Lonchura striata: one gene and its partner. The protein of the gene in region 2 purifies or fractionates together with the protein of the main gene of each other region. This does not show direct contact. Links are inferred from orthologs where the notes say so. Each region holds a gene or a part of one and is shown on either strand. Other genes may lie near its edges.

Region 1 (7,848 bases), on a different chromosome or scaffold from region 2:
TTAATTAGCTAATTAAAATTGGAATTAATTAAAATATACAACCACCAAGTTGTATTGGGGGCCCCCACTTTGGTTAATTAAATATTAATTAAATTATATTCAATTAAATGTTATAAAATAGGCACCAGGCTGTACTGGGTGCCCCCAAACTGATTAATAAACATGTTAATTAGCTAGTTAAAATGGGAATTAATTAAAGTACATAAAATAAAAGAAAAAGAGAATAAAACAAAATAAAATAAAGAAAACAAAATAAACACAATACAACGTAATACAAGACAACAAAATAAATTAAATTAAATTTTTAAAAAATTAAATCAATAAATAAAATAAAATAGAAAATAAAATAAATTACGATAAGAATAAATAAAATAAAACCAATAAAATTAATTAAATCAATTAATTTAATTCCCACTCACGTCTCCGCCGAAGTCGGTCTCCGCGGGGGGGCCCCCATTGAAATACCTGGGGGGGCAAAGAGAATTTGGGGAGATTTTGGGAATTTTTGGGAATTTTGGGAATTTTTGGGGTCCTGAAGGGTTTTGGGGTGATTTGGGGAATTTTTGGGGAATTTTTGGGGAATTTTTGGGGGAATTTGGGGAATTTTTGGGGGAATTTTGGGGGAATTTTTGGGGAATTTTTTGGGGAATTTTTGGGGAATTTTTGGGGAATTTTTGGAGGAATTTTTGGGGGAATTTTGGAGGAATTTTTGGAAATTGTGGGAAATTTTGGGAATTTTTTGGAGGATTTGGGGAATTTTGGGGAATTTTGGGAATTTTTGGGGTCCTGAAGGGTTTTGGGGTGATTTTGGGAATTTTTGGGGAATTTTTGGGGAATTTTTGGGGAATTTTTGGGGGAATTTGGGGAATTTTTGGGGGATTTTTAGGGAATTTTTGGGGGAATTTTGGAGGAATTTTTTGGGGGGATTTTGGGAATTTTGGGGGGGTTTTGGGGAATTTTTGGGGGTCCTGGGGAAATTTAGGGGAGTTTTTGGATTTTTTGGGGAGATTTTGGGGATTTTTGGGGAAATTTTGGGAATTTTGGGGAATCCTGGGGTAATTTAGGGGAAATTTGAGAATTTTGGGGGGTCCTGGAGGGGTTTTGGGGGAATTTTGGAAATTTTTTGGGGGTTTTGGGGAAATTTGGGGGTTTTGGGAATTTTTGGGGGAATTTGGGGAAGGGTCCCAATTATTAACATGCTAATTAACACGCTAATTAACACGCTAATGAGCCTGACATAATGGAGACACAGGCAATGCTTGGGGCAGGATCCCATTAATTAAATTATAACTGGTTCCCTTTAATTAAATTATAACGGGTTCCTTTTAATTAATTTGAGACGAGGGCTCATTAATCTATTAGAGGAGGGGTCTCTCTAATAAATTATCTCATTAATTAGCTAATTAATCAGCTAATTAACATGCTAATTAGCCCTCACTCAATGGCACAGACAGGAAATTCTTGGGGCAGGATCCCCTTTAATTAATTTATAACGGGTTCCCTTTAATTAATTTGAGGTGGGGCCTCATTAATAATTTAGGGAGAGGTTCCTTTAATAAATTATCATATTAATGAGCTAATTAATCAGCTAATTAACATGTTAATTAGCTGTCACCCAATGGCACAGCCAGCCAATGCTTGGGGCAGGATCCCATGAATTAATTTATACTGGCTTCCCTTTAATTAAATTATAACGGGTTCCCTTTAATTAATTTGAGATGGGACCTCATTAACCATTTAGGGGAAGGGTCTCTCTAATTAATTACCTCATTAATCAGCTAATTAACATGCTAATGAGCTGTCACTCAATGGCACAGACAGGCAATGCTTGGGGCAGGATCCCATTCATTACTTTATAACGGGGTTCCCTTTAATTAAATTATAACGGGTTCCCTTTAATTAATTTGAGATGGGACCTCATTAATCTATTAGGGGAGGGGTCCCTCTAATTAGTTAGCTAATTAACACGCTAATTAGCTGTCACTCAATGGCACAGACAGCCAATGCTTGGGGCAGGATCCCATTAATTACTTTATACCGGGTTCCCTTTAATTCTTTTGGGGCAGGGCCTCAATTATCTATATGGGGAGGGGTCTCATTAACTAATTAGCTAATGAATATGTTAATGAGGCTGACTCGATGGCGGACAGCAGGTAGTGCTTGGGGCAGGATCCCCATTAATTTATGATGGGTTCCCATTAATTAATGACAGGTTCCCTTGAATTAATTTGAGGCGGGGCCTCATTAATCATTATGGGGAGGGGTCCCTCTAATTAATTAGCTAATTAAATCGCTAATTAACTCTCACTCAATGGCACAGACAGGCAATGCTTGGGGCAGGCTCCCATTAATTACTTTATAGCGGGGTTCCCTTTAATTCTTTTGGGGCGGGGCCTCAATTATCTATATGGGGAGGGTTCTCATTAATTAATTAGCTAATGAATATGTTAATGAGGCTGACTCGATGGCGGGCAGCAGGTAGTGCTTGGGGCAGGATCCCATTAATTACTTTACACCGGGTTCCCTTTAATTCTTTTGGGGCGGGGCCTCATTTATCTATTAGGGGGAGGGCCCCGCTAATTAACTAGCTAATGAATATGTTAATGAGGCTGACTCGATGGCGGGCAGCAGGTAGTGCTTGCGCAGAGCCTCGAAGTAGGGCCCGAGGTTGGCGGTGCCCTCGATGACGAAAACCACGTCGGCCACCAGGGCGGGGGGGGCGGGGCCTTCCAGCGCGGGCACGACCATGGCGGCCCGCGGGGGGGGCCGGCTCCTGCGGGGGGGAAACAACAACGCCGTGACTCCCCGGAACCGAGCCCGAAGCGGCGACTCGCCCGCAGCTCCCCCCTCAACCCCGCCCGGCATTCTCACGGGGTTGGCGGTGCCGCAATTTGGGTTTTTAATTAACTTCCCCCCTCCCGGTTCCCCCCCCCCCCACAACTCCCCGGGGTCGGTACCGGCGGCGGCGCGCGGAGAGGAGGAAGGGGTTTTCCTTCGCGTCCGCGCCGGGCGGCGGCGCATGCGCGGAAAGGAGGGACGCGGGCGTTGCGCCTGCCTCAGCCAATCAGCGTGGAGGAAAGGAGACACGCCCCTTCCGCATTGCTATAGTAACGACTCATCGACCAATGGAATTGAAGAGGATAATAAGGAAGCCACGCCCCTTCCGCATTGCTATAGTAACGACTCATCGGCCAATCGCGTTGCAGAATAAGCCACGCCTTTTCCGCCATTGCGACTCATGGACCAATCGCGTTGCAGGGGAAGCCACGCCCCTTCCCGCCGTTGCGACTCATGGACCAATCGCGTTGTAGGGGAAGCCACGCCCCTTCCGCCGTTGCGCGGCAACCGCGGCGCTCCCGGCGTGCCCCGCGCGGGAAATGGCGGCGAGTGGCGCCAACTGAGCGGGGAGCGCGCGCGGGCAGGGAGGGGGCGGGGCCAAGGAAGGGGCGGGGCTTGAGAGGAAAGGGGGCGTGGTTTGTGGGAAAAGGGGCGTGGTTTGGAAGGAAGGGGCGGGGTTTGGGAGAAAAGGGGCGGGGTTTAGAATCAGGAGGCGTGGCTTTAGAGCCAAGGGGCGTGGCTTGACTGATAAGGGGCGGGGTTTGAAGCGAAGGGGCGTGGCTTAAGAGCAAAGGGGCGTGGTTTGAAGCGAAGGGGTGTGGCTTAGGATCAAAGGGGCGTGGCTTAAGAGACAAGGGGCGGGGTTTATATCCAATGGGCGTGGCTTAAGAGCAAAGGGCGTGGCTTGAGATCAAAGGGGTGTGGTTTAAAAGCAAGGGGGCGTGGCTTAAGAGCAAAGGGGGCGGGGTTTACCCTAAAGGGGCGTGGCTTAAATGCAAAGAGGCGTGGCTTGATATCAAAGGGGCGGGACTTGATAGTAAAGGGGCGTGGCTTAATAGCAAAAGGGCGGGGCTTATAAGCAAAGGGGCGGGGTTACTAGCAAATGGGCGTGGCTTAAGAGCAAAAGGGGCGTGGTTTGAGAGTAAAGGGCGTGGCTTAAAGCAAAGGGTTGTGGCTTAAGAGCAAAGGGGTGGGGTTTAATATCAAAGGGCGAGGCTTAAGGACAAATGGGCGTGGCTGAAGTCGAGGGGCGGGTTTATTAGTAAAGGGGCGTGGCTTATGAGCAAGGGGCGGGGTTTGTAGGCAAGAGGCGGGGTTTAAGAGGGAGTGGCCATTACAAGGGGGCGTGGCTTAGCTCGAAAAGGGGCGTGTCCCGCACGAGTGGGCGTGGCCATGTCCGGCGAGGAGGGCGGGGCCTTCCTGGTGGGCGTGGCCACGGCCAGCGGCCTCCCCCTGTTCTGCCGCCCGCCCCGCCCCCAGGTGAGGCCACGCCCCCCCCTCCCCTCCCCTCCCCCTTTTTTCGGGAGGTGACCTTTGACCCCCGCAGGTGCCGTTCCCATTGGTCGGGGCCCTGCACGGGGCGTGGCTCTTCGGGGCGGCCGCGGGGGCGGAGCTGCGGGAGGCGGCCACGCCCACGGCCCGGCTGGGCTGGGCCGGACAGCCGGACAGGTCAGGGGGCACCCAGGGGTCACTGGGGGGGTCACGGGGTCAGCTGGGGGTCACGGGGTCACGGGGTCAGGGATGGGGTCATGGGGGGTCACGGGGTCACGGGGTCAGGGATTGGGTCATGGGGTCAGGGTGGGGAGCACGGGGGGGTCACGGGGTCATGGGGTCAGGGAGGGGTCACAGGAAGGTCACGGGGTCTTGGGAGGGGTCACAGGGTCATGGGTGGGTCACGGTCGGGTCATGGGGTCAGGGAGGGGTCACAGGGGGTCATGGGGTTAGGGAGGGGTCACAGGGTCACGGGGGGTCACAGGGTTATGGGAGGTGACACAGGGTCAGGGAGGGGTCACAGGGTCACACAGGGTCATGGGTGGGCTGCGGTCAGGTCACGGGGTCAGGGAGGGGTCATGGGGGGTCACGGGGTCACTCAAGGGTCATGGCGGGTCATGGGGTCAGGGAGGGGTCACAGGGGGTCATGGGGTCAGGGAGAGGTCACTCAGGGGTCACTCAGGGGTCGTCCCCCCCCAGCCTGACCCTGATTGGGCTCAGCTTTGGCCCCGCCCCCGCCCAGATCCTCGACTCCGCCTTCGGCGCCTTGGTGAGAGCCTGCCCAGTATAAACCAGTATAGACCAGTATAAACCAGTATAGACCAGTCCCTCCCGGTCCCTCCCAGTTTGTCCCAGTCCCTCCCAGTTTGTCCCAGTTCCCTCCCAGTCCCTCCCAGTCTGTCCCAGTCCATCCCAGTCCCCCCCAGTCCCTCCCAGTTTGTCACAGTTTGTCCCAGTTCCCTCCCAGTCTCTCCCAGTCCCTCCCAGTCCCTCCCAGTTTCTCCCAGTCCATCCCAGTTTGTCCCAGTCCATCCCAGTCCCTCCCAGTCCCTCCCAGTTTGTCCCAGTTTGTCCCAGTCCATCCCAGTTTCCAGGTGCTGCTGCTGGGCCGGGAGCAGCTGCTGCCGGTGCGGAACGAGGAGAGGCTGAAACGGGAGCTGAGGGTGAGACTGGGACAGACTGGGACAAACTGGGAGGGACTGGGATAAACTGGAATAAACTGGGATGGACTGGGATGGGGAACTGGGTGGGACTGGGAGCTACTGGGAGCACTGGAAATGGGGCTGGGACAGACTGGGGGGCACTGGGAGTTACTGGGAGGAACTGGGAGGGACCGGGATAAACTGGTTTGGACTGGGAGCAATGGAAAGGGTAACTGGGAGCACTGGGAGCACTGGGAGGGCCAACTGGGACTTACTGGGAGTTACTGGGAGTTACTGGGAGGGCTCTGAGGCATTTTTGGGGGTCCTGGGGTGACCCCGCCCCCAGTTTTAGCTCCTCCTCCATTTCTGTCCTGTCTCCCCTGATTGGCCCCGCCCCTTTCCTGGCCACGCCTTCTTTCCTGACCCCGCCCCTTTTCCGGCCCCGCCCCCAGGGCTGTTTCCCGCTCCTGGATTGGCTGCTGAGCCCCGGGGGGGGGATGGGCGCCCCCTGCTGGCCCCTCCCCCCCGGCCCCGACCGTGACACGCTGGAGGTGAGGGACCCCAAAAACCCACAAATCACCCCAAAAAAACCCAAAATCGACCCAAAAACCCCTTCAAATCATCCCAAAAAAAACCCCAAAATCACCCCAAAAAACCCCAAAATCACACCCAAAAATACCCCCAAAAATACCCCAAATCAGCCCAAAAATCACCCCAAAAAGAACCCCCCAAATCACCCCAAAATCATTCCAAAAAATACCCAAAAGCACCCCGAAATCACACCCAAAATCACCCCAAAATCACCCCAAAAAAACCCCCCAAATTATCCAAAAATCACCCAATTTGGGGATTGGCCCCAAGATTTTGCATGCCGCTCCCTGATTCGCGCGCCCTGATTTGCATACCGCTCCCTGTTTCGCGCGCCCCGCTCCCTGATTTGCATGCCGCTCCCTGATTGGCGCCCCGCGCCCTAATTTGCATACCGTTCCCTGATTCGCGTTTCCCTTCCTGATCTGCATGCCGCCCCCTGATTGGCGCAGCCCCTCCGATCTGCATGCCGCTCCCTGATTCGCTTGTCCCGCTCCCTTATTTGCATACCGCCCCCTTAGTTGCATGCCACTCCCTGATTGGCGCGCCGCGCGCCTTGATTTGCATGCCGCTCCCTGTTTCGCGCGCCCCGCGCCCTGATTTGCATGCCGCTCCCTGATTCGCGTGTCCGCCCCTGATCTGCATGCCGCCCCCTGATTGGTGCACCCCGCGGCTTGATTTCCGTGCCGCTCCTTGATTTGCATACCGCCCCTTATTTGCATGCCGCCCCCTGACTGGCGCGACGCGCGTCCTGATTTGCATGCCGCCCCCTGATTGGCGCGTCCCGCGCCCTGATTTGCATTCCGCCCCATGATTGGCGCGCCGCGTGCCCTGATCTGCATGCCACTCCCTGTTTCTCGCGCCCCGCGCCCTGATTTGCATGCCGCTCCCTGATTGGCGCGCCCTGCGCCCTGATTTGCATGCCACTCCCTGTTTCGCGCGCCCCGCCCCCTGAGCTGCATGCCGCCCCCTGATTGGCGCGCCCCGCGGCCTGATTTGCATGCCCCTCCCTGTTTCGCGCGCCCCGCCCCCTGAGCTGCATGCCACCCCCTGATTGGCGCGCCGCGCGCCCTTATTTGCATGCTCCTCCCTGTTTCGCGCGCCCTGCGCCCTGATTTGCATGCCGCCCCCTGATTTGCGCGCCCCGCGCCCTGATTTGCATGCCGCTCCCTGATTGGCGCGCCGCGCGCCCTGATTTGCATGCTCCTCCCTGTTTCGCGCGCCCTGCGCCCTGATTTGCATGCCGCTCCCTGATTGGCGCGCCGCGCGCCCTGATTTGCATGCTCCTCCCTGTTTCGCGCGCCCTGCGCCCTGATTTGCATGACGCCCCATGATTGGCGCGCCGCGTGCCCTGATCTGCATGCCGCCCCCTGATTGGCGCGCCGCGCGCCCTGATTTGCATGCCGCCCCCTAACTGGCGCGACGCGCGGCCTTATTTGCATTTCGCCCCCTGATTCGCGCGCCGCGCGCCCTGATTTGCATGCCCCGCCCCCTGACTGGCGCGCCGCGCGCCCGGATTTGCATTCCGCCCCCTGATTGGCGCGCCGCGCGCCTTGATTTGCATGCCGCTCCCTGTTTGGCGCGCCCCGCGCCCTGATTTGCATGCCGCCCCCTGATTGGCGCGACGCGCGCCCTGATTTGCATGCCGCCCCCTGATTGGCGCGCCGCGCGCCCTGATCTGCATGCCGCTCCCTGATTGGCGCGTTCCGCGCCCTGATTTGCATGCCACTCCGTGTTTCGCGCGCCCTGCGCCCTGATTTGCATGCTGCTCCCTGATTGGCTCGCCGCG
Region 2 (7,539 bases):
AATCCAGGGGGAAATTATTCATTTCATTCATCACTAAGTGTCTTTGTTCATGCTTTAGCTGCCTCACATGGAGTTTTCACAGGCTGCTCATTCAAACCCTTCTGTTGAGGAACTGATTAGCGGGGGAAAAAATCCAGAATGAAAATTAGGGAAAACTGCAGCGTACCACCAGCTCCTCCTGAGAACAGTGGATGGGCTGACACGGCCCTCCCATCCGAGATGGAGACCTCAACAAAACTGTCAAAGGATTTGGGAAGAACTCCATTATAAGGACATAAAAAGGTCACCAAAGTCACCCCCTTGGAACAAAGGTCTCACTGCTTGGAGCTCCATAAGGACGGATGAAGATTTGGGCACACCAGCACTGTTCCTCACCTGAGGTGAACATTGTGCACACCCACAATGCATAAAATCAAAAGCCTTCTCTTCCCTGCCAGGCCTGTCAGCTGCTCTCAGCTCTCCCTGCTGCCCTCATTAGGGGTATGAACACACTGTCATGCTACAGACCACAGCTCTACTATGCCTTCGTGCAGGCTGACACCACACTCTCATCTGACCAATTCACCAGCATCTCCAGTGGTGGAGGAGCCTTTCAAACTTTAACCAGACTGTGAAATACCTTTGCTGTCCCCTGGACTTGCCACAAGACACGACAAGCCCCAAAGGACAGAGATGGGTCACCTGGGGAAGCTGGAGGAGCTGTTTCCACAAGGAAGAGAAGGCAAGAGGCAGGGACACATCACCTAGACCAAGCTGTGTTCCAGCTCTTTGGGAACATGACACTCCAAATAGAAATGGAAAGGCAAAAAGAAATGCTGATTGACAGCACTTTAGGTACTGAATGGTATCTGCATGTTGTCACCTGCTGGAACAACTGCCTGACTCAAATATCAGAGGCAGGCATCCAGCAACCCAGCAATTATTGCTGCCCTCCTCCAGAAAGCCAAGGGGAGAATTAAAACCAGCACAGTACTGAGGGGAGTGTCCCCCATGGAGCCTGAATCAACTCCTGCTTTAGAAACAGCCCTTAAAAAGAGGCAGAAATGAACCATTCAGCCCCATCTGAAGGACACAGCATCCTGTGCCTCCTGCTTGGCTCAGTCAAGGGCCATAAATACCACCAGCCTTCCCACAGGGATCTGCTCAGCGGAACCTGGGCTCCCCCAGGCTCCTTTACACATTCCAGCATCAGTTACTGAACCAGGATCTATTCCTGACAGTAGGAACAAAGTGAGTGATTGCATCTGCTATATTTAGAGCAAACAGCCAATACCCCCGCATTTAAATGGTTGCCAGCATTCTCATTAGATGTATAAATAGCCTCTGTTTGTTTTCAGAAAGAAATTGGTTTAAAAAAGAAAACTACCTTCCTAGTCCTCAGCCTGTAACCATTGAGCAGGGAGGCCTATTTCATATGAAAAATTAAATAATGCTTTTTGTCTAAGCCAAACCAGGAAAAAAGCTCTCAGCTGTGGCTGGTATTATCCATGCTGTGATGCTTTGTGTGGGTATAGGGGTTTGAACACAAGGGCAGCACTTAACTGAAGCAAACTGAGGCTGCTTGCTGCAGAGGGGCATCACCCTCCCTCTCCCAGCCTTGACCACTCACCATCCCGAGCCACCTCTTCCCCCTGCAGGTCAGTCACACCAGAGCTCCCTTTCTTCACAGAATCCCAGAATGATTTGGGTTGGGAAGGACTTTAAAGATCACCTGCTTCCAATCCCCTGCTATGGGATACCTTCTGCTAGACCAGGTTTGCTTCAGACTTTAACCAGCCTAGCTTTGGACACTTCCAGAGATGGGGCAGCCACAGATTCTCTGGACAACCTGTGCCAGGGCCTCACTCTCAGAGGGAAGAATTCTTTCCCAATATCCCAGGTAACCCTGCCCTCTGGCAGTGGGAAGCCATTCCCCCTTGTCCTGTCACTCCAGCCCTTGTCCAAAGTCCCTCTCCAGCTCTCTTGGAGCCCCTTTAGGCAGTGGAAGGGGCTCTGAGGTCTCCCCAGAGTCCTCCAGACTGAGCACCCCCAGCTCTCTCAGCCTTCTCCTCTTCTTCTCCCTCTCCCAGCTCCACAGCAGTCCCAGCCCTGACATCACAATTCTGTTCTTCCTCCAGATTCCTCCAGTCTCCAGCCCAGGCTCTCATCCAACACTCCAGCTTGCTTTTCCTGCAACTGATGCTGGCCATGCTTCCTCCCTTGAGCAGAAAGTCTGGTCCCACATAAACATCTGTCCTTAAGGCATTTCAAGGATCACATCCCCATCCTCCAACCCATCCAACCCCCATTTGCATTAAAGTCAAACTGAGGACCCCAAACAACAAAAAAATACATTGGAAAGCTGGGATATAAGAGACAGCAAAACCCCACTTGTAGTTATTTACACAGAATAATGCAATTTCCCCCTCAGATTTGGCTTGCAAGAGAGGGATCTATATAGACTTAGGACACCAAGTGTGCTGAGGGGCTGGGAGCCACAGCGAGGCCACGGATAGCTCCTGGGACCACCGGGTGATTCCTGGGATCCCTGGATGGTTACTGGGATGTTTTCTGGGACCTCTGGATGGTTCCAGTAGTCCCTGAATGGCTCCTGGGTCACCTGGATGGTTCTTGGCACCCCTTCTCTTCACCCTGCCCTTGGGGTGCGGGATTCCACAATCTCTGCTTCCTCCAACCCCCCACCTCCTGTGTGGGGCTCGGGAGGGAGGTGGGATCATTGTGGGGGTGTCAGGGGAGGATCCCTGGGGATCGCAGGGGGATCACTGAGGGGTGCAGGGGGGTGTAGGGAGAAGCAATGGGGGCACAGAGATGATCACTGGTGGAGTCTCAGGATGATCACTGGAGGTTTCTGGGGGGAACACTGAAGGATCTCAGGGGGATCACTGGGGCACAGGTGGGATCACTGGGGAGGCACATAGAAGGTATCACTGGGAGGGATCATTGGAAGTTTCAGGGGGATCACTGAGGGTCTCAGAGGGATCACTGGAGGTCTCAGGGGGATCACTGGGGTTCTCTGGGGGATCATTGGATGCTTTAGGAGGGATCACGGAGGGTCTCAAGGGGATCACTGGAGGACTCAGGGATCACTGAGGGTCTCAGAGGGATCATTGGATGTTTTAGGAGGGATCTCTGGAGGTTTCAGGATGGATCACTGAGGGTCTCAGAGGGATCACTGGAGTTTTAGGAGGGATTACCGAGGGTCTCAGGGATCACTGGAAGTCTCAGGGTGATCACTGGGGGTCTCGAGGGATCACTGGAGGTTTTAGGAGGGATCACTGAGGGTCTCCGAGGGATCACTGGATGTTTTAGGAGGGATCACTGAGGGTCTCCGAGGGATCACTGGAGCTTTCAGGAGGGATCACTGGGGGTCTTTGGAATCACCGGAGGTTTCAGGGGTCTCTGGGGGACAACTGGAGGTTTTAGGAGGGATCACTGAGGGTCTCCGAGGGATCATTGGATGTTTTAGGAGGGATCACTGGAGCTTTCAGGAGGGATCACTGGGGGTCTTTGGAATCACCGAGGTTTCAGGGGTCTCTGGGGGATGACTGGAGGTTTTAGGAGGGATCACTGAGGGTCTCAGAGGGATCATTGGATGTTTTAGGAGGGATCACTGGAGGTTTCAGGAGGGATCACTGGGGGTCTTTGGAATCACCGAGGTTTCAGGGGTCTCTGGGGGATGACTGGATGTTTTAGGAGGGATCACTGGAGGTTTCAGGAGGGATCACTGGGGGTCTTTGGAATCACCGAGGTTTCAGGGGTCTCTGGGGGATGACTGGAGGTTTTAGGAGGGATCACTGAGGGTCTCAGAGGGATCATTGGATGTTTTAGGAGGGATCTCTGGAGGTTTCAGGATGGATCACTGAGGGTCTCAGAGGGATCACTGGAGTTTTAGGAGGGATCACCGAGGGTCTCAGGGATCACTGGAGGTCTCAGGGTGATCACTGGGGGTCTCGAGGGATCACTGGAGGTTTTAGGAGGGATCACTGAGGGCTTCCGAGGGATCACTGGAGGTTTTAGGAGGGATCACTGAGGGTCTCAGAGGGATCACTGGGGGTCTTTGGAATCACCGAGGTTTCAGGGGTCTCTGGGGGATGACTGGAGGTTTTAGGAGGGATCACTGAGGGTCTCCGAGGGATCATTGGATGTTTTAGGAGGGATCACTGGAGCTTTCAGGAGGGATCACGGGGGGTCTTTGGAATCACCGGAGGTTTCAGGGGTCTCTGGGGGATGACTGGAGGTTTTAGGAGGGATCACTGGGGGTCTCTGTGATCACTGGAGATTGCAGGAGGGATCACTGGCGGGGTGCACAGGCAGGATCACCATGGAGGCGTTTAGGGGGGATCACTGTCAGTTCCGGCGGGCATCACGGGAAGTTTCGGGGGGATGACAGCGGGCCGCGGGGCACGGCCCCCGCCCGGCCCGGCGCTCCGTGAGGGCGGCGCGGCGGCCGTGAGGCGGAGCCGGGCCGGGCCCGCCCCGCTCCGTCACTGCCGGGCCGCCATGGCGTCCGGGCCCGCGGGCCGCGCCGCCGAGGAGCCGCCGCCGCCGGAGCCGCCCGCCGAGCAGAAGCCGCCGCCGCTGCCGCCCGCGCAGGAGGAGTTCTCCTTCCTGCCGCTCGTCCACGACATCATCAAATGGTAACGGCGGGCACGGCCGCCGCCCCCCGCCCCGCCCCGCTCGGCGCTGCCTCGCCGCAGAGCGCCCGGGGCCTGCGTGAGGAGCAGGGCTAAGGTGTTCTCCCAGCCGGTGGCGTTCTCCCAGCCACAGCACCCTCGGGGGTGCAAAGGGATGCCCGCCCCCTTTAGTGATGCTCACCCGGCTCCCGGCATCCACAGGTTGCTTTGGATGGGAAGAAGGCAGTGGGGTTCCCTCGAAGTTGTTTTTTCATCCTTAGCATCCTCATAATGCCTTGAACACGGAGCTGAGTTATTGGACCCTCCCTCAAGTGATGCTCCCACAGCCCTCACTTCCCCAGGATGCCCTGAAGAGGTAGCGGTCACCCTGCAAGTGATGCTCTCCATCCTCCCCAGCATCTCCTTTGCCCTTTTTCTCTCACCTGGAGTTCCTGGGAAGAGTGTTGGAGAGAGCTGGCACAGCCCCAAGTGCATCTCCACTCTGAGTGGTGCCAGGGTGGTGTCAGGGTCACCTGAGCAGTGCAGATGCTCCCATGGCTCAGGTACACTGCCCCACCGCTAACCCCAGAGCAGGAGCACTGTGTGCCCACTGGGTTATTGCTCCAGAGAACTGTGCTCTTTGGCTGATAACAGCCTCAGGAAGCACAGGCAGTGTGTCAGGAATGCAGCCCATTTCTGGGAAGTTGTAAAAAGGGGGATGGCTTCCTCAGTGGGACATACACTGTTCTCTTCCCAGCTCAAGATAAGCACTGTACAGGTGAAAGGTGCTGGTACAAGAATCCTGAGAACTGATGTGTTTCTGGGTCAGGATAACCCCTCCGGAGATGCTCATCTGAATTCCCAGAAAGGGGATGTCTCTGCCATGGAAATCCATCCAGGCAGGCTCTGTGCTCTCACCTGGGCAGGGTGAGGCAGTGGGCATGGGAAGCATGAATTGATTTCTTCCTGCCCTCTCCCTGTGCACTAGCTGAGGAGCTGATTTGTGTCCTGCTGATGCTTCACTTGGAGCAAACATGTCTGAAAGGTGAGGGAGGTTCATCCTTAATGGCTCTGCAGCCCAAGCAGCCCAATCCATGGGAATTAATCCCTTTGACACGCCAGTCCAGAATGGGCATGAGAACACAAACACTGTAATTTCACTCAGTCTCCTCACTGTGCTAGGTGTAGGCCATCAGGCTGCTCCCTAACCTTGATTCTCTCTGATCTGTGCAGACCACAGAGTGAAGCTAAATCCCCTGCCAGGTGTGTGCATGTACATCACCAAAGTGGGCAGTAGCCATGGGCTGAGACCTCCCAGACTGTGATGTGTCACTGATCAGGTTGTAGTGACTCACAGATGACAGTCCCAGGGATATCTTGTGCCCTGTCCCACCAAGCCACCCACTCCTGCTGCCCAGCTACCTCCCTTGGCTTTGTTTTTGGCCTTTCCTGGGTGGCTTGAGCCGACGTAGGGGCTGAACAGTGTGGCAGAAAGGTGGCACCACAGTGGCCAGCGGTGGGATGTTGTGCCTCCTGTCCCTGACAGATGGCAAACGGGCTGTCCTCTAACACAGCCTCGAGTGGCAGAGCCCAGCCCTGCTGCTCTGACACTGACTCAGCTGTGAGGACACATCTCCAAGGTGACTCTGTGCTCCGGAGCGAGGATGTATCGCGTAAATTTGCTGACATTCAAGGATGGGTGCTGTTTCCTGTTGTTTGGGTCTGGAGAAAGTTTTCCTAAACAGAGTCTGCTGATGTTTTCAGCCTTGTACAGTCAACAGCATCACTGCTGAGGTCCCACTGTGTGGCTCTGCCAATGGTGGGTTGTGCTGGTGTAGTGAAGGGCACTGTGCCTTAAGGCAGGTTTTGTGCCCAGTGTATCATTTATCAGGTTAGGAGCTGTGGTTGGATGCTGTGTTGAATCCTGCAGCTGCAGGCTCTTGCCATACCTTCCCACTCCCACATCTCCATGCTCCCAAACGGGGAATCACTTCAGTGGCTTGATGTAGCAGGAAAACTACCCATCAGGAGTAAAAAAATGCACCAACCCTGAAATATTTATCCCTTTGGGTCAACCAGCAACAGGCAGCTGTCAGTTCTCTTTGAGTGGGGAAGGGGATGGGATGTGAGGAGGACACCCCTGTCAAAGCCAGCCTGCAGCTGTGGTGGATGAAAGGCAGTGTCACCCCATCCTTCCCCAGATGTGCCATGGTTGTGTGTGTGCTTCTGTATTTTTCCACTGCCAACCTGGCCCTGAGTGCCTGCATAATGGGGAGACATTATAGTACCAGCTGCAGTTTTATTTAGAAGGGAATAATGAATATTTTGTTCCAACAGGCTTTTGAAACAAGCGGCGGCCATCTGCTTAAAAGTTTTGCTCTCAGCCATGTCACGATTCCCCAAAGTTATAATCGAGCACCTCTCTGCCCTGGTCATGCCAAGCAGATTTATTTTTAGGTCTGGCTATTGAACAGGCTCCCAGTTTTTCAAAGACCATTAGAATCCTGCTCTCCCTATTAACAGGCATCCTGGAAGCGGGGATTTGCTTTTGCCTGGAATCAGTAAAACTTCTTGCTGGTGCTAACAAAGCTGAGTCAGATACTAATGAGGGTTCAAGGGCAGACGCTGCCTCAGACAACACTGAGCCTTGAAAAGCACAGAGCTGGCTGCAGAGCCAATTCTGATGCTCTTAAAAAAAACACCACAAACCAGCCCAAAAAAAACCCACTGCTTCTCTTTTATTAAGTATAAATCCCCAGAGACTCATTTGAAAGCTCCCAAGTACCATTTTCTCTGCCTTTGGACACTCTCTGACACTTTGGGGAACAGTTTCTGTTTTCTGCTGTCAAGCTGTTTGGTTGCATTGATTTTTTTTGTATTACAGCAGCAACAGGTCACGGGTGAGACTGAGATCTTTTTTTCCAGG

Evidence for each region. Proteins that work in one complex are often made in the same cells at the same time.
Region 1: the proteins of MED9 (region 2) and MED25 purify together in Homo sapiens (co-immunoprecipitation; 3 studies listed by BioGRID and IntAct, with this or other methods). This does not show direct contact. The link is inferred for Lonchura striata from reciprocal best matches to the Homo sapiens genes MED9 and MED25.

Annotation. Positions count from the first base shown.
Region 1 is NC_134640.1:2,261,079-2,268,926, forward strand, and holds the start of MED25 (mediator of RNA polymerase II transcription subunit 25), read right to left. Parts: upstream 3,015-7,848; 5' UTR 2,958-3,014; intron 2,774-2,957; 5' UTR 2,749-2,773; coding exon 2,615-2,748; intron 466-2,614; coding exon 420-465; intron 1-419. UniProt on the Homo sapiens protein: Component of the Mediator complex, a coactivator involved in the regulated transcription of nearly all RNA polymerase II-dependent genes.
Region 2 is NC_134618.1:15,400,168-15,407,706, forward strand, and holds the start of MED9 (mediator of RNA polymerase II transcription subunit 9), read left to right. Parts: upstream 1-4,500; coding exon 4,501-4,637; intron 4,638-7,539.